Linked DNA regions of Arabidopsis thaliana. The protein of the gene in region 4 purifies or fractionates together with the protein of the main gene of each other region. This does not show direct contact. Each region holds a gene or a part of one and is shown on either strand. Other genes may lie near its edges. The genes, in order: WRKY53, MAPKKK20, ROC2 and CAM6.

The links.
Region 1: the proteins of CAM6 (region 4) and WRKY53 purify together in Arabidopsis thaliana (affinity purification with western blotting, with the first as the bait; one study listed by BioGRID). This does not show direct contact.
Region 2: the proteins of CAM6 (region 4) and MAPKKK20 purify together in Arabidopsis thaliana (affinity purification with western blotting, with the first as the bait; one study listed by BioGRID). This does not show direct contact.
Region 3: the proteins of CAM6 (region 4) and ROC2 purify together in Arabidopsis thaliana (affinity purification with western blotting, with the first as the bait; one study listed by BioGRID). This does not show direct contact.

Annotation. Positions count from the first base shown.
Region 1 is NC_003075.7:12,391,190-12,396,533, reverse strand, and holds WRKY53 (WRKY family transcription factor), read left to right. Parts: upstream 1-2,551; 5' UTR 2,552-2,794; coding exon 2,795-3,198; intron 3,199-3,297; coding exon 3,298-3,868; 3' UTR 3,869-4,017; coding exon of another isoform or gene 4,018-4,134; 3' UTR 4,135-4,164; downstream 4,165-5,344. Other genes in the region: 3xHMG-box2 (HMG (high mobility group) box protein), read right to left, coding at 4,018-4,134, 4,225-4,309, 4,382-4,467, 4,556-4,726, 4,810-4,875, 4,960-5,065, 5,144-5,344. UniProt on the Arabidopsis thaliana protein: Transcription factor. Interacts specifically with the W box (5'-(T)TGAC[CT]-3'), a frequently occurring elicitor-responsive cis-acting element. May regulate the early events of leaf senescence. Negatively regulates the expression of ESR/ESP.
Region 2 is NC_003074.8:18,646,467-18,651,596, reverse strand, and holds MAPKKK20 (mitogen-activated protein kinase kinase kinase 20), read left to right. Parts: upstream 1-2,075; 5' UTR 2,076-2,272; coding exon 2,273-3,301; 3' UTR 3,302-3,522; downstream 3,523-5,130. UniProt on the Arabidopsis thaliana protein: Mitogen-activated protein kinase kinase (MAPKK) that phosphorylates both MKK3 and MPK18 and regulate two separate signaling pathways involved in root microtubule functions.
Region 3 is NC_003074.8:20,805,110-20,810,411, reverse strand, and holds ROC2 (rotamase cyclophilin 2), read left to right. Parts: upstream 1-2,243; 5' UTR 2,244-2,387; exon of another isoform or gene 2,388-2,560; intron 2,561-2,888; 5' UTR 2,889-2,894; coding exon 2,895-3,425; 3' UTR 3,426-3,846; downstream 3,847-5,302. Other genes in the region: AT3G56060 (Glucose-methanol-choline (GMC) oxidoreductase family protein), read left to right, coding at 4,429-4,510, 4,638-5,279. UniProt on the Arabidopsis thaliana protein: PPIases accelerate the folding of proteins. It catalyzes the cis-trans isomerization of proline imidic peptide bonds in oligopeptides.
Region 4 is NC_003076.8:7,213,437-7,218,852, reverse strand, and holds CAM6 (calmodulin 6), read left to right. Parts: upstream 1-2,800; 5' UTR 2,801-2,902; coding exon 2,903-2,978; intron 2,979-3,739; coding exon 3,740-4,113; 3' UTR 4,114-4,379; downstream 4,380-5,416. Other genes in the region: CIPK26 (Ca2+regulated serine-threonine protein kinase family protein), read right to left, coding at 1-67, 263-334, 453-515, 602-772; AT5G21222 (protein kinase family protein), read right to left, coding at 5,153-5,416. UniProt on the Arabidopsis thaliana protein: Calmodulin mediates the control of a large number of enzymes, ion channels and other proteins by Ca(2+). Among the enzymes to be stimulated by the calmodulin-Ca(2+) complex are a number of protein kinases and phosphatases.

The DNA.
Region 1 (5,344 bases), on a different chromosome or scaffold from region 4:
CAATGTTTTTCCGTACATGAGTTTTTTTTAAATTGTTTGGCATTTTCCTACTTTACTAATTTATTGCTGTTTTTAGCGAGTCCAATTGGCTACTGATATTTGGCATAGCAAATTATATTTTTTTTTCATTCTACTAAAAATACTGTGCAGCGTTGACACACACACACAAAATACTGTTGCGTAATTAGAAATAAATGCGATACTTAATGCCGTAAAGTTTACAGATCATACAAAAAAAATCTTCTTGGTTTTGTAATGAAGCAATGCAGAAATAATATGTCAACTTACGTCATTATCTTGTGAGCTGATTCAAAGATTTCAAGAGTTATGTTTTGGATGCAAATATGTCAAATTACATAATTTCAGCTGATTCTATGAAGTGTAAATACAAATTTAGGGTGCAAAGTGCCAAGATTCATTTTATAAGGATGAATGATGAATGAGATCCAAATAATAATAATAATACAATGAATGAATGACGCAAAAGAGAGTGACGCCATTATAAAAATTAAAATATCATTTGGAGTACTAAAACTAGAAAACAAAAAAGAATGATAAAAGGGAAAATCCACGCGGAGAGAGGTTTGAAATGTCTTCGGTCCAATCCTGTCCTTTTGAATATTGATTTTCTTTTTGATTTTTCTTGCTTTTTATTAATCAACAAATCTGTTTTTTGGAATTACGTTTTTTCTACGTTGAAGTGATTTTTTTTCCTTTTGTAAAAGGCCTACGTTGAAGTAAAATTACATAAATAAATGTATGTTATGAATATCGACCCAAAAAACAAATTATTTCTACACTATACTTTGCGCAAATCAAATCTATCGAAAACGATTTTGGTAATCCCATTCCCATGAGTGAGTTTTGACCCAAAACAAATTTAAAAAAGTAACCATTTCATTAGTAAAACGGTAAATATGGTTCATAAACCTTTTAGTGGTTATTGGTCCTGTACACTACACTCGTGTGTGTCAACTTCAGCTATGAGATTTTTGCTGTAACTTTTTGGATAACGGTTCAATTATTACAAAGGTTATTTCTTACGTATGAGAGGTCCAAATTACAATTGAATAATATTTGATGACATACAAAGTTAAAAAGGATTAATCATAAGAAATGAATGTTGGAATGGAATGCATCTATCGATCTGACTACTTTAGATAGCTTGATGTTGGACTTAGTCAGCAAAGACCTTATCATACTCTTGTTGTATTGTATATATCGTATCACACAGTGACTGGTTTTTTCTACTTTTCTCTTTGGAACATATCAATCATTATGTATAAATAAATTTTGTCCAAATTAATGGCCATTTGTCTCAACCATAAATAAATATTTATTCACACACCTATATGACTATTTGAGATAATTCCATGGTGACTTGGTCAGCAAAAACCTTGTCATACTCTTGGTGTATTATCACATAACTTTGTAGATTATATTCTTATGGAACATATCATATATATTTGTCCAAATTAAACCCATTTGTATTATTTTCCCCTCTCGAGTTTAATATTTCTTATTTAGAAACAGTTAACAACTTGACATAGCTCACATAATCACTCACAGACTATATATGTATAAGCAACTACCATTTTAAATATTATTTAGTTATATTGTTAGACTGCAACTATTATTTATTTTCTTTGCCAAACAAATTTATATTTTTTCATGTTAATACAATATTATATCTTGAACAAATGTATGCTTAAATATATTGACACAAAACAAAAACATATAGGGGTTTTTAGGAAGAAATTTTGTACAGATTAATTAATCCTCATCAGATTTTTATTTTATATCTTATTTTTAGAAGTGTATGATTTTAAAACTAGAACAATCAAATCTTAGTAAATTTCATTCAACATAATTTTTATGTTATTGCTAATCTATTGAATGTTAATAAGAATTGTATTATACCAAATTACCAATATGTGTTTTGATACTTGTACTTAAAACAGAATGTGGAATATCCTTTCCCTTATTAATGATATTAAACATCATTACAATTCATAGTTATAGCAATGAAATATTATCCATAGAAAGGTTGTTGCATAATGCATACTAGTAAAGCATCAACCAACATATTTTGAAAATATTCTTAATCAAATAAAAAACATATATTGGAAATTCTTTAACAGTAGAAAAAAACATATAATAATAGAGAATCTTAATCACATGTACAAAGTCGTAGTTTTGAAAGTGTACATTGAAAGAGACAGTTGTATAACCCTTTGTTGTCTAATTATATAATTAACCCACTATAGTTAAATAAATGATAAACTTGGTTACAACTACATTAACAAAATTGAAATGTTGAATTGGTCAGCCTTTGACCTTATACTCTTTCACTACCACCACCCCACTTATCAATTACACTCTGGCCCTATACTTCCTTATACCAAAGACTTTTCTTCAATTTGAAAGTTTTGTCTCTCTTTTAAAAAGAAATAAAATAATTATTTATGGTTTGGTCATTTGGTCAAATTTTCAAACACTGAAAATCCAATGCCTTTATATACCAAACCAACACTCATCCATTTTTATCACCAATCCTATAACACTCTCATTCTCATCATATCATTCTTCAATCTATATAACCCATTCTTAATTATACTCAACACACATTATATTTTTCTGATCATATCATTCTTTCAGTCCATCTATATAACCAATTCTTGATTTATACTTAAAACACACATTATACATCTTTCTCATCATAGTTTGTATCAATTTCCTAGAGTAAACTACCTAAAGGAAAAAAAAAATCTATTTTGGGAATCATATACTAAAAATGGAAGGAAGAGATATGTTAAGTTGGGAGCAAAAGACATTGCTAAGCGAGCTTATCAATGGATTTGATGCGGCCAAAAAGCTTCAGGCACGACTTAGAGAAGCTCCGTCGCCGTCGTCATCATTTTCATCACCGGCGACGGCTGTTGCTGAGACTAACGAGATTCTGGTGAAGCAGATAGTTTCTTCCTACGAGAGATCTCTTCTTCTGCTAAACTGGTCATCCTCACCGAGCGTACAACTTATTCCGACGCCGGTTACTGTAGTCCCGGTGGCAAATCCCGGCAGTGTTCCAGAATCTCCGGCATCGATAAACGGAAGTCCGAGAAGTGAAGAGTTTGCCGATGGAGGAGGTTCTAGCGAGAGTCATCATCGCCAAGATTACATTTTCAATTCAAAGAAAAGGTAACAAATTGTTGATATCTTTTTTCACAATTCACCAAATTGAATTTAAAAATCTCATTTTTTCTAGAAACTAATTTGAAATTTGGGTAATTTTTGCAGAAAGATGTTACCAAAGTGGTCAGAAAAAGTGAGAATAAGCCCAGAGAGAGGCTTAGAAGGACCTCAAGATGATGTCTTTAGCTGGAGAAAATATGGTCAAAAAGACATTTTAGGCGCCAAATTCCCAAGGAGTTATTACAGATGCACACATCGTAGCACACAAAACTGTTGGGCAACGAAACAAGTCCAGAGATCAGACGGGGATGCTACGGTTTTCGAAGTGACGTACAGAGGAACACACACTTGTTCGCAGGCGATCACAAGAACACCACCATTAGCCTCGCCGGAGAAGCGACAAGACACCAGAGTCAAACCAGCCATTACCCAAAAGCCAAAGGATATTCTCGAGAGTCTTAAATCCAACTTAACCGTTCGAACCGATGGGCTTGATGATGGTAAAGACGTTTTCTCGTTCCCTGATACGCCGCCGTTTTACAATTACGGAACTATCAACGGCGAGTTCGGCCACGTGGAGAGTTCTCCGATCTTCGACGTTGTTGACTGGTTCAATCCAACGGTCGAGATTGACACAACTTTCCCCGCGTTTTTACACGAGTCGATTTATTATTAATTAAAATTTGTAACAGAGAAATAGATAGTAACTAGTAAGTAATGATCAGCGAGAGTTAAAACATAAAAGTACTTAGAGTAATCTAACGATGCATAATAAGGAATGTTCAACAGGACTTGAACATGATTTCAATACTAAGAGAGATTTATCTAGCTACTGGTAGTAGCCGCAGACTTCTTGTTGTAAGCTTCCACTTCCTTTTTGTATGCTTCCATCAGTTTTGCGGCCTTTCCGTTGTAAACTTGCTTCTCTTCTTCACTCAATTCCTGCAAAGACGTATTCGCACAGATAGATTAACAACAGGAAATTGTTACAAGCCAATGTGTTTTGTTGCTAGTAATTGTGATTTTTCATACCTTCCATTTCAGTGAAATGAGAGCAGTAACAGTAGCGTTGTTTGTCCCGGGACGTTCTTCTGTCAATTTCTTCCTTTCGTCCTTGCTGTAAAAACATGATAAGTTAGGAACTTTCTATAAAGACCAATTCGGATTATAACTTGAAGTAAGTTCATACCTGAAGAGAAAGTATGAAGAAGCAGGCTTCTTTGGTTTGTTAGGGTCAACGTTTTCGTTCTTCTTCTTCTTGGTCGCCTTCTCCTTCTGCAAGAGACAAATAATTATGATCCTGTGAGTCTCTGAGTTGAAATAGACCTTGGTGAGTTAAGTGTGAGTGAGAGAGAGTTATTACCTTGATCAGATTATCAGTTTTCTCCTTCTTCTTAAGCATTTGAAGAGCTTCTTGTTTGTGGAGTTTCAAGAGTTCCTCTTCTTCTTTCTTCTGACTCAGGGCTTCTTCTTCCTTTGTCCTCTTGTATTCCTCCATTGCTTGCAGGTATGTCTCCTTGTTCTTCTTTGCCACCTATTTAAACAAGAATACCTCAATCATTCAGTCTTAAGTCTTTAATGGCAGTGAAATGCAAGCATATTTGTATGGAAACAGACCTTCTCGTAGGGTGCCTTTTTCTTGTCTGACAAGTTCTTCCACTCCTCTCCAGTGATCTTTGCGACCTATAACCACATTTAAACTCCATAAGTTAGCTTCACAATTTGACAAAAACTGATCTGGAGAACGAATTAAGTAATTAGATTTACCTCCACGACGCTTTTGTTTTCTTCGCGTAAAGCAGCTCTCCTCTCGTTTGCATAAACAAGGAAGGCAGATACGGGATGTTTTGGCTTCAGAGGGTCCTTCTCCTTCCTGCAAACCATAAACAGCTCTAGTTAGTTTACTATTGATGATCAAATTGATATAGTCACTAAGACTTTTGGTTTTTACTTGTTCTTCTTCTTGTTGTCCTGTTCAGCTTCCTGGACAAAGTTGAGATACTGATCAAGCAATTCCATTGCAGTTCTCTGCTTCTGGTCATCCTCCAGAAGCTTCATGGCCTCCTTCTCGCGCTTCTCCTTAGCAATGACCTGGAGGTAAGCTTCTTTCTCAACCTGGTACCTTTCCTCGTAAGGCTTCTTATCTTCTGCA
Region 2 (5,130 bases), on a different chromosome or scaffold from region 4:
CGGTGACGGAGTGACGGCTAAGGAATTTAAGGATAATACTAACTTCTCTGACCTCAAAGCTCGCGTTACTCTACGTTTCGAGTTTTGTGCGTTCGTCACCGTCAGATTCCGTTAATGTCCGTTATATATCTTCTTTTTAAAATTATTATAATCAGCAAAAAATCATGATATTTGTTTTAAATATTATTATTAGTATAGATTTTATGAAAATTTAAGAGCCGCAACTTGCGAAAGTTTGTTATTACTCTCTCTGTTTGGTATCGAAGACTTCAGGTCTGATTCCGACAATAAAGAAAGAAAAGAAACTAAACTTCACTCTGAAGCACTTCTTTGCCGTTCTTGACCACTCATTTATTCATTTACTATTCACCCTAACTTTTATATAGTTGAGGTGCGCCGCAATTTATTTCATGACAATCTTGCAACCTTCTGATCAATAACAAGAAAAGAACTTTGTTTTAATTTCTTGGTTAAATTTTATTGTTATATTGCCAATTCTATAGAAGAAAGTAGAAACTAATTAATCAACAAAACAAAATTGTGTGTAAACGTTTATCTATAGAGCAATATCAAAAACGTCACTTACACCCATATGTGAGTCATTGTAACAAAACTATAGTTGGGATAAGATATTTCTAACAGTACATATATTGCTCTGTAGATACTAAAAATGTAGAAACCATAAAGCAAAGGGATATATGAAAGATTGAAAGTATATGTAAAATCATGATAGAGTATTATTTTTATATGATTCTCATGCAATCATGCCATTACGACCTACAAATTAACGGACGGCCAAGCAAGTTGTTGTTGTTGTGAAAACTTCTAAATCAAGCATTTTTTTAACGATAAAAGTAAAATGTATCGTAAAGTCGTGACTAATAAAATATTAGCAAGAAGAATAATGATTGGAAGAATTGTCGGATAAAGTCATATGTTGAAGCATCAAAATCTGTTGAATTGCTATTGGAATTTGTAAGCAAACAATAAAATACAAACTATAGTACAATTCACATGTGACAACTTCATTGTATTCAGCATTTTTTCGTCTATCAATATTAGTATTTGAAAATAAACATGCAAATTGCAGCTGCTATTTAACTATCTATTTTTATTTATTAGTTTATACAAAAAAAAAATTATACTGCTTTTTTAGTAATAATCTTCTTAGTTATTGTTTTAGTGGATATCCCGAAAAGACATTAACTTTGAACTGATTTTACATAAATTATATATACAAGAAACAATTACATATAATCAATATTATATTATCGTTTTACATCATTGATCTATAACTAATCATATGCTAGTAGTTGTTGAGAAAAATAATTATTAATGCTAGTTAAAAAATAGTTATATAAAGTTAAAAAATGATGTATTTAACAAAATTGTGTGTGTTTTATTTAGTCTTTATATATTCGTTTAAGAAAACACTGGGAGAAAATGCAATAACGTTACTAAATTGAGAAGGAATTGATTCTTGGAATCACCAAACAACACCACAAACCTCAACTTGCAATTTTTATAATTTTATCTTATCAAGTATCAACGTCCTTGAAAGAAGACCAACCTCATTGGTAATACTCTAATAGTCTAATGGATGTCTTAAGCATAATTTGGTTAACTAATACTAATCGTCGTAGATTGGTTAATAAACTTAAGGTCAAGCTTCCGTTAAAGATTGACCATCAAATTTCTTGATTTCAAATCCTAACACCATTTAGAAAGAAAGAAAGAAAAAGTAAATGTGTTTTTCTTTTTGTCAATAAGTAGTACTCCTTAAAATTTAAATATTGGTAAATGATACACTGATATGGGAGTAATTAACCTAAAGATTCTGTAAAATCTCGTAGTAACCAAAACCAAAGTCATGCGATAATATTGATTTTCCCAAGTTAATAAATATTTTGTTACTAAATTTCGTTTTTAGCAGCCCAACGAGAAAAATATCAAATATCCGCTTTCATCACGTGCATTAATTACCCCAAAAATTCAAGACTAAGGAAAACAAATATCACAATTAAAAATAATAAAAACTTGATAGTATATAATGAAGAAGTTCCACCATAAGGCACAATTAACCGTCACGAGCTACATGCTCTGTATCTTCAGATTTCCTAAATACTTACAATTCCCATTCCAATTCTGATTTGGTTAATCCAAAACAAAAAAAAAGGAAACTTTCTTTTACCCTAAATCTATAAAAACGAAACCCTTCTTCACAAATCTTTGTTCTTCGTAATCTCTCTTAAAAGCTTTTGTTTCAATTTCAATGGAGTGGGTTCGAGGAGAAACAATTGGGTTCGGAACCTTCTCTACTGTCAGTACAGCGACAAAGTCTAGAAACTCCGGCGACTTTCCTGCACTTATCGCTGTGAAGTCGACGGATGCTTATGGCGCCGCTTCACTCTCCAACGAGAAATCGGTGTTGGATTCACTCGGTGATTGTCCTGAGATCATACGGTGTTACGGCGAGGATTCAACGGTGGAGAACGGAGAAGAGATGCATAACTTGTTATTAGAGTACGCTTCGAGAGGAAGCTTAGCGAGTTACATGAAGAAACTTGGCGGTGAGGGTTTACCGGAGTCCACCGTGCGTCGCCACACAGGATCAGTGCTTCGAGGGTTACGTCACATCCACGCTAAAGGGTTTGCACACTGCGATATAAAACTCGCGAATATTCTGTTATTTAACGACGGCTCTGTTAAAATTGCCGATTTCGGTTTGGCGATGAGAGTTGACGGAGATTTAACGGCGTTAAGAAAAAGTGTGGAGATTAGAGGGACGCCGTTATACATGGCACCGGAATGTGTTAATGATAACGAGTATGGATCAGCGGCTGACGTGTGGGCTTTAGGATGTGCTGTAGTTGAGATGTTTAGTGGCAAAACGGCATGGAGTGTTAAAGAAGGATCACACTTCATGTCGCTTTTGATACGTATAGGTGTTGGTGATGAGTTACCGAAGATTCCAGAGATGTTGTCCGAAGAAGGCAAGGATTTTTTGTCGAAGTGTTTTGTTAAAGATCCAGCGAAAAGATGGACGGCTGAGATGCTTTTGAACCATTCGTTTGTAACCATTGATCTTGAAGATGATCACCGAGAAAACTTCGTTGTGAAGGTTAAGGATGAGGATAAAGTATTGATGTCTCCAAAGTGTCCTTTTGAGTTTGATGATTGGGATTCTTTTACATTGGATTCAAACCCCTCGTTTGATTCTCCGGTGGAGAGACTTGGGAGTTTGGTTAGTGGTTCGATCCCTGATTGGTCTGTCGGTGGGAGTTGGCTTACAGTCCGGTGATGAAAGTTATATGAAAACAGAGGAAAAACAGTGTGTTTGGAAGGCTAGGGCTTTTTTTTAGCACCTAGTTAGACCCATTCTACGATTCTTGTTCGTATTCTTTAGGTGTAATTGATTTGTTAATACAATTCATTCTAGTGTTCCTTGACTTGCTTTTGTTGTGTTATTAAATTTTGAGGATTTAGTAGCTCGTTAATACAAGAGATATGATCATAATCAATCCATCAAAAAAGTGGTTTAGAAAAGGAAAGAGAAGAGCAAAATTGGTGTGTTGAGAGTAAGATTAAAGAATGTTATTGACAGAGGATAGTTCGTGGCCACCACACGACAGCTTACTTGAATACTTTGCTTCAAGTAAAACAAGCTTCTCTTGCACCATATACTCTGCTCAACACGATAGCATTTTGGATCCCTCGTCGCTGTTAATTGAATTTAGGCCCATTTGGTTTTAAGAGGCCCGTTATGTTTCGATAGCTTTATTTATTGACACAGCCCACTCGATGATTGTTAATATGTTATTTATTAGCCATCAAACCTTGTAACAACAATATCTTATGGAATGTGACCCAATGAAAAAAGTACTTTTTGGTTTAAAAGTTAAGAACCAATACAAGTAGTTGTCATTAGAAAATCTTCATCTCTGAGTATGGACTTGTGTCACAAAATGGCTTCAAACTGATATATATGATTTTGTGTTTGCGTCATCTTGTGTTTGTCCCATTTCAATTCAAAAGTGATTGTGTATTTGACTTAGGTCGGTGCAAGTCTATGTACATTTTGAAGCTCTATATATTCTCTCGCAGTTAAGAGTTTCTATTCTAATAAGCTTTTCATATGCGCAGTTGTTGAGTATTGTGAGTCAGATAGTTGTTGAGTATTGTGAGTCAGATAGGGAAAGACATAACATAAAGGAATCTAATCAAGAGATAAAAATTTATCAAATTCATAGTTATTCTAATTCGGTTAGAGCATTTTCATTGGACAAATAATGAGGATGTCTTTAATTATAATAAGAATAAAAAAAGAATAAAAATAAAGTTTATCGGAGAAAGATGATGTCTCTCCACATACACTAAGAGCAAGTCCATCGGCAGTTTTTAATGAGTTTCTAGCTAATTAAAAGTCCAAAACTAAATGAAAACCCAACTAAATAGTTAGGATCGATCCCAATATTAGTTTTTTTGGATGGGTTTAGAGACGCCGACGTGGTCGACTGACTGTAAGTCGTCGAAAAACAAAAAAAATTACAACACTCATGTTTTCCTTTTTCCTCTCGTTTTTCACTTCTTTGTTTTGTCCGACGGCCGGCGATTCGAATCGATTTGATCTCCGACGTATCGAGCATGAAATCGGGAGAGAAGAGCCAAATCATCGACGACTTGGTTCACCAATTCCATTCTTCGAACCATACTCATATAAGAGTGTCTTGGCTTCTCTCTAAATTCCAAACAGAGAATTTTCTATCATGATTTCTCTCGCTCTTGCCCTTAAAAAGGTTAGATCTTTTGTGTCTTTATCATGATTTCTTTGTATCTGTGTTGAAGGGGAGTCGTTGAAGTCAAGTACTGTGGAGTGAGTTTTGAAATTTGATACAAAATCTAAAGTAGTGAGCTGGTTTTGGGTTCTAGGGCTAGGTCTCAAAGTCTCTTGCTTTATGTAGAATCAAAATTCGTTTTGTGTACTTGCATATTGTTGAAATTCATATATGGTCCCGAATTTGTTTTGGCTGTGATTCGTTTGCATATGACTTTGCTTCATATTGTTGTTGTCTATTCAACATGTTATAATGATTCCGGTCCTAGCGGTGCTATATGCATGTTTTGTTGTGG
Region 3 (5,302 bases), on a different chromosome or scaffold from region 4:
AGTATAGCCTTATAGGAATCAAGTTAAACGTTAGATTCTTGTGATAATGTGTCTTTTAACTATAAAGTTTGAAGTATAAATATAATATTTTTCCTTCCATTTGATTCAGTTTTAGTTTTGATTTTTAGAAGACATGGTATGAGTTAAAAAAAAAAGACATGGTATGAGTAAAACGAACTTGAAATTGGGTTTGTTGTTGGGTCCAACGAACCGATTGAATTCAATCGCGGACGGAGTTTATATAATGGGCCTAAATCTTAATATGGGCTTTTTGATCTGTTACTGAAAGTTTTTTCTTTTTTTTTTCTTTTTGGACAACTGTTATTGAAAGCAAAAATGTAAAATAGTGAAATAAGAGGGCAAAACGAAGAAAACATCTCTCTGTCTAAAACAAGCAAATAAATGGAACGAAATCCATACCAAGAACAACATTGACGCCGGGTATATATTTCCGTCAGCAGATTCTCCATCTATGGCTCAAACAAATAGATCCAAAATCAAATGAATATGTTTTGGAAATAAATATTATATTTTGTTTCAATGCAAAATTCCAATGATTTGAAGTGAAGTGATTTGATGAAGGAGTTGAAGTGATTTGAGTTTAGATAAAAATTTAGATGATTTTGACGATTTAAAATTTTAGAGAGTTTTGACAATTTTTTAAAATGACATATAAAATAACACATAAGATTAAAAGAGACATTTACGAATAATATTAAAGACATTGAGTTATTTTATGAAATCAATAATGAAACTAATGAAATGACGATTTGGATAATCACCGGACCATTATATAATTTCATTATTTCAGAATAGTGATTTGGATAATCACCGGATAATTAATACTATTATCTAAGTAAAATAATTATGTGAATTTCAGCATAAACTACTAAAATTGCCATTGTGATTTTTCAAAAATAATTTAAATTTGATTAACTAGATGTTAAAATGAGTAATCGGTTCATGGATTAAATCACTTTATAAAATGATCTACCTCCATCATAACCTATTAGATTGAAAGATAGGTTCAGAGTTTGTGCAAAAAAATCTATAGCATACACATCTGAACTATTTCTCTTTGGTCAAAGAATCCTAAGTCTATTTCTGGTATTAAAGATGACATCCGAAAAGCCCTTTTAAAAAGATATTCAGGAATCAGTATAAGATATTCTGAGGGAAGTCAATCAGAAAATGATATTTGGTTAGCTCTGGTGGTCAATATAATTGAAACCCTCAACAGTCCAACCATAATTGAAAACATTTGTTTTTCCTAATCGATGATTTCCACGTTTTACATTAAAATTGTCTATTTCTAACACTGTAGAGTGATTAGTAGTATAAAGATAGTTTGAACGTCAAATATTATACTACATACTGTTTAGTGCTGACTCTTGTCCACCTTATAAACATCTGAAGTCAAAAGGATGCTGAAGTCATTAGAGTAAATATTGAGAGGAAGAAGTCTTATCGTCGCCCCATTTCACTTATCATTGGGTGAGATCGGTCTTGAAGAAAGAGAGTTAGAGAGGAAAAAGAAGAATCTTATTAGCTCTATAATATCTGATATTGCTTCTCATTTAGTTTTTCACTTTTTACATTAAGATTGGTTGTTTGTAACATTATGGAGTGGTTAATAGTATAAAGATAATCTGAATATTATAATATATAATGTAGAGTCTTGTCCACCTAATAACCATCTCTTCAAAAGCATTGTTCTATGATCTGATTTTTCGGAAAGACTCTGCACTTCTGTTGCACTTCTGTTGTTGGACACTTTCTCTTTGCTAATAAACCACTAACACAAGTCCAAGCGACCAGAGAATCCATTTCTTCTTGTTTTATTAGAGCATTCATAATAAGGCCAAGATTATAAATCATCCGAAAAGCCCAAGTGTCCTATGTAATTTATTTTCCAAAGCTCATTTAATTAGATCTAAGCAACTAGGTTCATATATATATAGTCTCTTGTAATGAACATCAAATAGTTAACTTTGAAAGCAATCTCAAAACATTGAGATTTATGTTGTTAAAGAGCTTATTAAGATAGCAACACGAGATTGAAATTAGATAGCTTATTAAAGCTTTAATTAGCTCACACGAACCAATGTGAAATGGGGTTTGTTGTTGGGTCCAAGTCCAACGAAACGATTATATTTCTTGGATGGTAGTTTTAATAATGGGCCTGAATCATATGGGCTTTTTGATGAGACTGTGACGGTAAGAAAATAAAAAAGGGCAAAACCGAGAAAACAGATCTCTCTGTCTCAACTCAAACAATCAAAAGCCCTAGTAAAACCCTAGCCCCCAAAGCCCTTGTGCCATTGAGCCGTTATATAAATCCTTCACTCGCTCCTTGAGAAGACGAATTTGAGATTGCCTCTGCAAAGGTACTTCATTTCGGTGAACCCAATTCATGTTTTCGATGATTTTTGCTTCTCTATTTCTTCGATTTTGCGTTTTATCGCGTTAAAAGCACATATCGAAGGCTTGCAGATAACGTATAATAAAAAACGCCTGCGAGCTCAATATTTGTGCAATATCCTAAAACCATCCATTTGAGGTTTCGATAAATCTCTGTGTTATAAGAATTTATCTTTTCTTATCGACAATTTCGATGGATGGGACATTTATTAATCGGTTTTATGATTTTTAACATTGTATGAGAAAATCTGAGTCAGATCTGAATAATTGAATCCTTATTCGTCTGCATTGATCGGAAAATAGTACCACTTGGGTTTTATCTAGTTTACTTTAAGGTGCTCATAGAGTGGTAATCTCACAATTGTTGTTGTTTGAACAATTTGGGACCTTTGTTTGCATGATTTAGTCTCTTATATACCAATTAGAATTTGGGACCATCTGCTGATTCATATCTTTGTAATTGACAGAGTAAAATGGCGAATCCTAAAGTCTTCTTCGACATCTTGATTGGTAAGATGAAGGCAGGGCGTGTTGTAATGGAGTTATTTGCAGATGTGACTCCGAGAACAGCTAATAATTTCCGTGCTTTGTGCACTGGGGAGAATGGTATTGGGAAAGCAGGGAAGGCTTTACACTACAAAGGCTCAGCCTTTCACCGTATAATCCCAGGGTTCATGTGTCAAGGTGGAGATTTCACTCGTGGGAATGGAACTGGAGGAGAATCTATTTACGGGTCTAAATTTGAAGATGAGAACTTCAAGTTGAAGCACACTGGTCCAGGGATTTTGTCTATGGCTAACTCTGGTCCCAACACTAATGGTTCTCAGTTCTTCATCTGCACAGAGAAGACTTCGTGGCTTGATGGGAAACATGTTGTTTTCGGGAAAGTTGTTGATGGATACAATGTGGTCAAGGCAATGGAGGATGTTGGCTCTGACATGGGAAATCCTTCTGAACGAGTTGTGATTGAAGATTGTGGTGAGCTCAAGAACCCAAGTTCATAAGTTCTTAAAACATTGGGTGGGTTGATCTTGACAGGTTATTCTATCATATGCTGTGAAGCAGAGACAGCATCTTAGCGTTAAGGTCAATCTAGTCTGTGATGCACTACTTTGGTTTTGACTATATCATATGAACCTTAGGAAGTGGTCCATCCTTGTAAGTTGTTTTCTTAAAACTCTTGTGTGAGAATAGGATGGATGATAATAATGGTTAGTTTCTTTATGAAGACATTTGGTTTTGTAGCTTTCTTATTTTGGTGTAGTTAATATGAATGAACCAAACTCTTCTTAGGACTCATTTGCGAATATGTATCCAAAATTGCTGACTTTTCGAATTGGGCAGATTTCACTTCATATGCAGAACAAGATAAACTTTCTGATCATGTGATGATAAATATTGTTTAGCCAACGCATCACACATTTCTTTGAGTAGTTTCTACTTATGGTTAAGTTTCAGCATCAATAGTCAATAGCCAACAATATTTGGACAGTCTTCTTTAAATACTCCAACAACTAGTTTGCCTTGGCAATTAATGTAACTTAAAGTCTAGCCAACTCTTTGGTATTAGCTTCGTTATTTTATACATTTCTTAAAACCATTTTATTCACATTTCTTGACCACTTGGATTCCAACATAGTGGCCAGCCATGCTGCACCACCTCGTCAAAATTACCACAATAATTTGATTTGGTCAAATCATCATTTTTTTGGAAAACAACAACAAAAAAACTTAAACTTTGTATAATAAGGACCCTGGGGTTAAAAGTATAATTATTACTATGTAACAAATCAAAGTCTAAGATGGAAAATACTATAATCCGTTGACTTAAATGTGCTAGAAAAAATAAAGAGGTCGAAGCCAGGTTATCATCGAATAAGACTTTTGCCGCAACCGTGAGAGATGTTCCTGTTTGTTTTTTCTTTTCTAAATGTTGGTTTATAAATAGCATATTTTTTTTCCTTGGCCCCAATAGATAAAGAACCAAACCTATAATCTTCCTCTATAATGAATTTTCATATCTTTCGATTTTTTCAATTTATCCTCGTCGCAGTTTTCATCTTCCACGACTCGTGTTATTCCGATGAAGGTACGTGAATTTTTAGTTTCCTTTTACCAATCATTCAACTTATGTTTTTTTTTTTTTTTTTTTGTTATACCTTACCTTAGTGTACTAATATGAACTCCAACTTTATGAAAAATATGTTTTCGTGTAGCTGGAAACTATAGATTTATGAAAGATGCAACATTAGCACCAAAGTTATCTCACTTCGACTACATAATCATCGGAGGAGGAACCGCTGGATGTGCATTAGCCGCAACGCTCTCTCAAAACGCAACCGTTCTAGTCCTCGAACGCGGAGGTTCCCCTTACGACGATCCAGCGGCAACAGACATCGGAAACTTCGCAAACACACTCTTGAACATAACTCCAAACTCATGGTCGCAGCTTTTCATCTCCGAAGACGGCGTTTTCAACTCACGCGCTCGTGTACTCGGTGGAGGCACAGTCATAAACGCAGGATTCTACTCACGTGCGGAAGAAGATTTCGTGGCGGAAGCAGGATGGGAGAGAGACGAGGTCGAAGCGGCTTACGAGTGGGTCGAGAAGAAAGTGGTTTTTGAACCACCGGTTAACAAATGGCAATCAGCGTTTCGAGATGGGCTTTTGGAAGCTGGTGTGACTCCATACAATGGTTTCACGTACGAACATATCGTTGGGACTAAATTTGGTGGTACGATATTTGACCGGGATGGTCATAGACACACGGCGGCGAATTTGTTGGAGTATGCTAATCCGAACATGATAGTTGTCTACTTGCATGCTTCTGTCCATAAGATCCTCTTCACTATTAAAGGTAATGACGACTGATAATTGAAT
Region 4 (5,416 bases):
CAACTGCATTAATAAGCTGCTGAAAATATTTCCGTGCATTCTCTTCTTTCAAGCGCCCATCATGTACCTTCACAAGTTTACACATAATGCAAAGGTTAAATCTACAAAGGTTAAATCTACATCAGAGATAAGAGAACGTTTCAATTGCAAGAAACAGGAACATCTATCAAGATTGACCAGAGCTTAGCATACATGTTCAAACAACAATAGATGGATCAAGTAACAATTATAAATCCATTGGGAGGGATTAAGGAAAACTCACAATTTTGTCAAAAAGCTCTCCACCAGTGCCGAACTCTAGAACAATATATATCTTAGTCTTGCTCGCCAAAACCTGGAACGGTATCAATCATTTCCTTAAAAGTTAGCTTCAGCACATTGGCTTCACATACAAAGAGCTCTAAAGCAAGCCAAAGAAAAATAGAGACACAAATAGAAAAATGGAGATATACCTCATACAGCCGCACTACATTTGGATGGTTTATCAGCTTCATAGTACAAATTTCTCTCCTTATCTGTAAAAACAATCAGGAAAGACACACATCATACTTTTGGACTGAAGATGCATCTAGTATATTATCTTATTAGGAAAGAGAGTTACCTGTTCAGCCATCTTATGCTTAAGAACCTTCTCCTTATCAAGTATTTTGAGAGCCACGCGTTCTCCTGTCTCAGTATTAACAGCACACCGAACTTTCGCAAAAGTGCCTTGTCCAAGCGTCTTTCCAACCTCATACTTTCCAACACGACGCTGAACCTTTGGCCGATTCATCACTCCGAATGTTCACCTCTTGATCTTCAAAAGCTGTTTTTGGAAAATGTAATCTCGCATATAAGAATGATTCCATGAAAAGAATCCAACACAACAACAGGCAAGATAGTGTTTCTTTGCTCAATTCACGGAAACTAAATGCAAAAAAAGTGAAAGAAACCGTCAAGAAAAGAACAGTAATATGCCACAGAATTCAATAAAGACAAAGCGTAAAAACAGCTGAAAATCCACAAGGCAATGACAAATCTAGCAGCGGAGATTTTCTCCGGAAATTCCGATCATCCTTTTTAATTACTCCAAAAACAGCCTAAATCTCTAGAATCATGACTTAGATAAATCATATATTGTTCAAGCAAGCATCTACAAATCCAAAATTCTCCACTAAACCAATATTTGTACTGATACACAATTGAAGCGAGATTCTCGAGTTAGCTACAGAACTAATCATCATCACCATCATATAATATAGAGATTATGCACACTTTACACATAAACCAAAAGCGTAAGCAACTCTCTAAGTTACCGAATTACTCATCGAATTCGAAGCAAAAACATGGAGAATCGACCAACAAACCTGCAAAATTGGACGGAGAAAAGTGAGCGAGTAGAGGTGACAAAACCGATGTAGCCGCCTTTGGGGAGCTCAAGAGTTAGCAGGAGAAATTCAAAAGAAAATCTATGGCGGAGAATTCGCAGGAGAAATAAAAAAATGATGGGCTAATACAAGGAGCAACAAGAGATAGAGATGCGACGAAAGAGATACGATGATTGTAGAGAAATTTGTAGCTAACAGACAAAAACTTATTTAATTTCGTGTAGGGACTCTCTCACTTTAATGGACACTTGTTTTTTAATTTTTTTTTTTCGTATGGGACAATTATACGTTTCTTTCCTTTGTTAAGCTCCTCAATTTTCTTAAGAAATAAAATTATGTTTTTTGCCTTTTTTGGTCAATTATTTTGGGTTAATTAATGTAATGACAAAATATTTGAGTATTCAGATTTTGACTAGATATGGACCTAATCAATAGGTGTTTTTTTTTCTTTCTCATTTGAGTTGTTTCTAAGTAATCGATGAATTCTTATGTTTTTGTTACAGACCATTTAAAAAAAAAAATAGTTGTAACTGATTTTATCCACTATTATATATTTTTAAGTCTTAACTCTGAAGTATATATGAGTTTTTTGTAAGAAAGAAAAACCGTTGCTTCTTCACTCTCACTTACTTACTAGTCACTACAAAGTTCAACAAAAGTCATACATTGCAACCGTTTTGTGTAGTGTCAATGGTTATAGACTGATGACAATTATTAGAACATTGAACAAATCATCAACGGCAAAAGCTCATTAGACTCATTTGTAGCGAGTACATATATATTCTAGAGGTGTGGAATAATAAGACTCATATAAATGATCGAACACTCTTTTTGTTTTTAATATAAAAACTAAAAAAATTTAAAAACAGTTTACTTGGAAAAAATGTAGAGATATTGACTAACTTTTTTATTAAGTATCCATTTAAATTAAAACAAAACATGTAAAATCGATTCAAGTTTAACTATTTCTACAAAAAAGTGTATTCATGTAAAATTTTTGCTTATACATATCCGTTTCTGTAACGTAAATTTAGAGGATACTCTAATCATTTCATATGTATCCATATATTATTTTTTTCAACATATTATAAGTTTTTTTTTAATTTTCCAAATTAATTAATATCCTTAAATATCTATCCTAGTTTAAAAACTTTTTATAATTAAATATTTAAATGAAAAAAATAATGTCAAAAGTTTAATTGATATACTGTAAAATATTCTACTAAATCAGTTTTGAAAATAGTCAAAAAAAATTAATAATTGTTAATTTGATAGATTTATTACCTAGTATATATGTCTAAATTAACTGCAAAGGTTATAGTTTTCTTTATAATTGTCTTAAAAAACTAAACTAAAAAGACAAAAAAATCATAAGAATTACTGAATTAGCTAGTAAATCTTTAGAGGCCCAACCATAAGTTGTTGGGCTCTCTCTCTTTTATAAGCTCTCTTGCTGAATTATTATTAGAGAGGCAAATAATATATTCAGTAGCAAAAAAAAAATCTGGGATTTCTAAAAAAAGGTAAGAAGGAAAATGGCGGATCAGCTCACCGATGACCAGATCTCAGAGTTCAAGGAAGCCTTTAGCCTCTTCGATAAGGATGGTGATGGTATGTTTCTTTCCCAGATCTTTGCGTTTTTTCCCCGATGATTACTCCGTCCGTATACGAGTTCTGGAATTTGTTTGACAGATTTATGATCTTCTTCAGTTTTCTGTATGATTCGTGTTTGTTTCACTTGTGAACGATCTAGCTTTTGGCTAATTCGATAGCGATTCATGACTCACGCTGTGTTTTGTTCTTGTTCTGGTTCAGTCTCGTGATGCAGCAATGAAATGTTTTGGGAAATTTATCCATATGTTGAGATTTTGAGTAGTTTAATTGTTGAAAAAAGGATTGATGTTGTAGATATCAGGAATGTATTCTGCTTTGATTGGTGAAAAACTTGCAAAATTCTGTTGTGCATTATTGGCCTTTGCACGGTGAGATGTGGGTTCAATAGAACGAAGTGGCTAGGGTTTTGATTCTGGCTTTGATACCATGTAAAGAGATTTGGAGAAGAATATTGTGTCTTTTTAATACACATGATTCTAGATTTGCTAGTACACACACATAAGGAAAGACGGAATAAACACAGAATATTTCTTTTACCCTAACACTTTAGGTAGGACTTGGAAGAGTGATTATTTTTAGTTTGTATGAATGGAGTTTCTTTGTTAACTTAGTAGGACTTTGTTGAATGAAAAAAAATCATTCTCTTTTTTACTTACCAGATCTTCATCAGTCGAAATAAGAAATACAATGGCTTTTGTTTGTTGACTGTGGATATAAGTCTGTCTCTAAAAGCTTATTATACCTGAATCTGGTTGCAGGTTGTATCACCACCAAGGAGCTCGGAACCGTGATGAGGTCTCTGGGGCAAAACCCAACAGAAGCTGAGCTTCAAGACATGATCAATGAAGTTGATGCAGATGGGAACGGGACCATTGATTTCCCGGAGTTCCTGAACCTGATGGCAAGGAAAATGAAGGACACTGATTCAGAGGAAGAGCTCAAGGAAGCTTTTAGGGTTTTTGATAAAGACCAGAATGGTTTCATATCTGCAGCAGAGCTTCGACATGTCATGACAAATCTCGGTGAGAAGCTATCCGATGAGGAAGTTGATGAGATGATCCGAGAAGCGGATGTTGATGGCGATGGTCAGATTAACTATGAAGAATTCGTCAAAGTCATGATGGCTAAGTGAGAGAATTTTATCTTAAGCCCACAAAAAGAAACAAGATTTATGATTTCTACAGTGAAGTTACATTATGACTTGATTCTGGTTGCGTTCTTTAGGACATCATTTTGCTTATTTCCCTTGTTTGTTTGGTTAAGCCTTTTAGTGTTATGTGAAGTATGAACTCATATTTTGCTCTCTTTTTTGGGCATCTGATTTTATTCTGTAAATTTTTGTTAGTTGTTGTTTATCTTAAAGCAATGCCCTAAAATTTGGCCGCGTTTAAAATACCAGTAAGAGAATTGACCAACGAAAACGATTTTGCAACATCGCCAACGTTATTGTTATTTTACATGAAAAATATAGTAGTTATATGTATCAATAAAATTTACAAACCATTTTGTTTCTTAGTTTGTAAACCGTAAGTCCCTAACCTTCAAACCTTTTTTCCATTAGGATCATCAAAATTGGAAATTCTTTAGAAACAAATGTAAGTAGCCTCTAAATCTATTGTTGTCTAAAAGTTTTTTAAATGATCAAAGAGGTTGTAAACCTAATTTCGTACACTCCCTGATGCTAGAGAGACCAAAAGATGTAATGTGACCATCTCCCAAACGAAAATTGGACTCTTGACCTCTAGGTCCAGAGACTCTTTAGTCAACTAAGTTTGTTGGTGGATGCTTGGTTTATATAGGGTCAATGTTAACCCGATCCAGATAGCGAACCGGACTACCTTATAGGTCATCAGATCATCGTATTCACCCGCGGGTCAAATTATTATAATTTATTCTATAGAGATTATATAGTTTTATAAAGAGAAATTGCCTCAAATATCACATAATCAAGTTTTTGGGACACAATTAGCACCAACTTTTCGATTAAGAAACAAAAAAATACAATCTAACATTATCCATCTCATTGTCTTGCTTGTTAAACACCATATTTTTCATTTAACTGAAAAAGTATATCTGTACAGAAAAATAAATCTTAAAAATCGATCGACACCAATCTTTGATCAGCTTTTCTTACCCTTTAATTTAGCTCCATCTCTACAGCAAAACAAATTCTACATGAACTTACAAAATCTCCCGGCTTCCCCAATCTGGTCTCTGCACAACACCACCAAAAGAGTCTGCCTCAAACCAAACTGAGACTTGATACATAGCTTTGGTTTTTCAGGCATTCCTTTTAAGAACAATGGACTTCTCGACGAGGCGATATTATTTGGGATATTGAGTTTAGAGGAAGTTGAGAAGGAAGAGCCCAATGTATTGGCATCATTACTATTAGAGACACCAATAGATTTCCATCCATCAGCTATGAGTTGCAT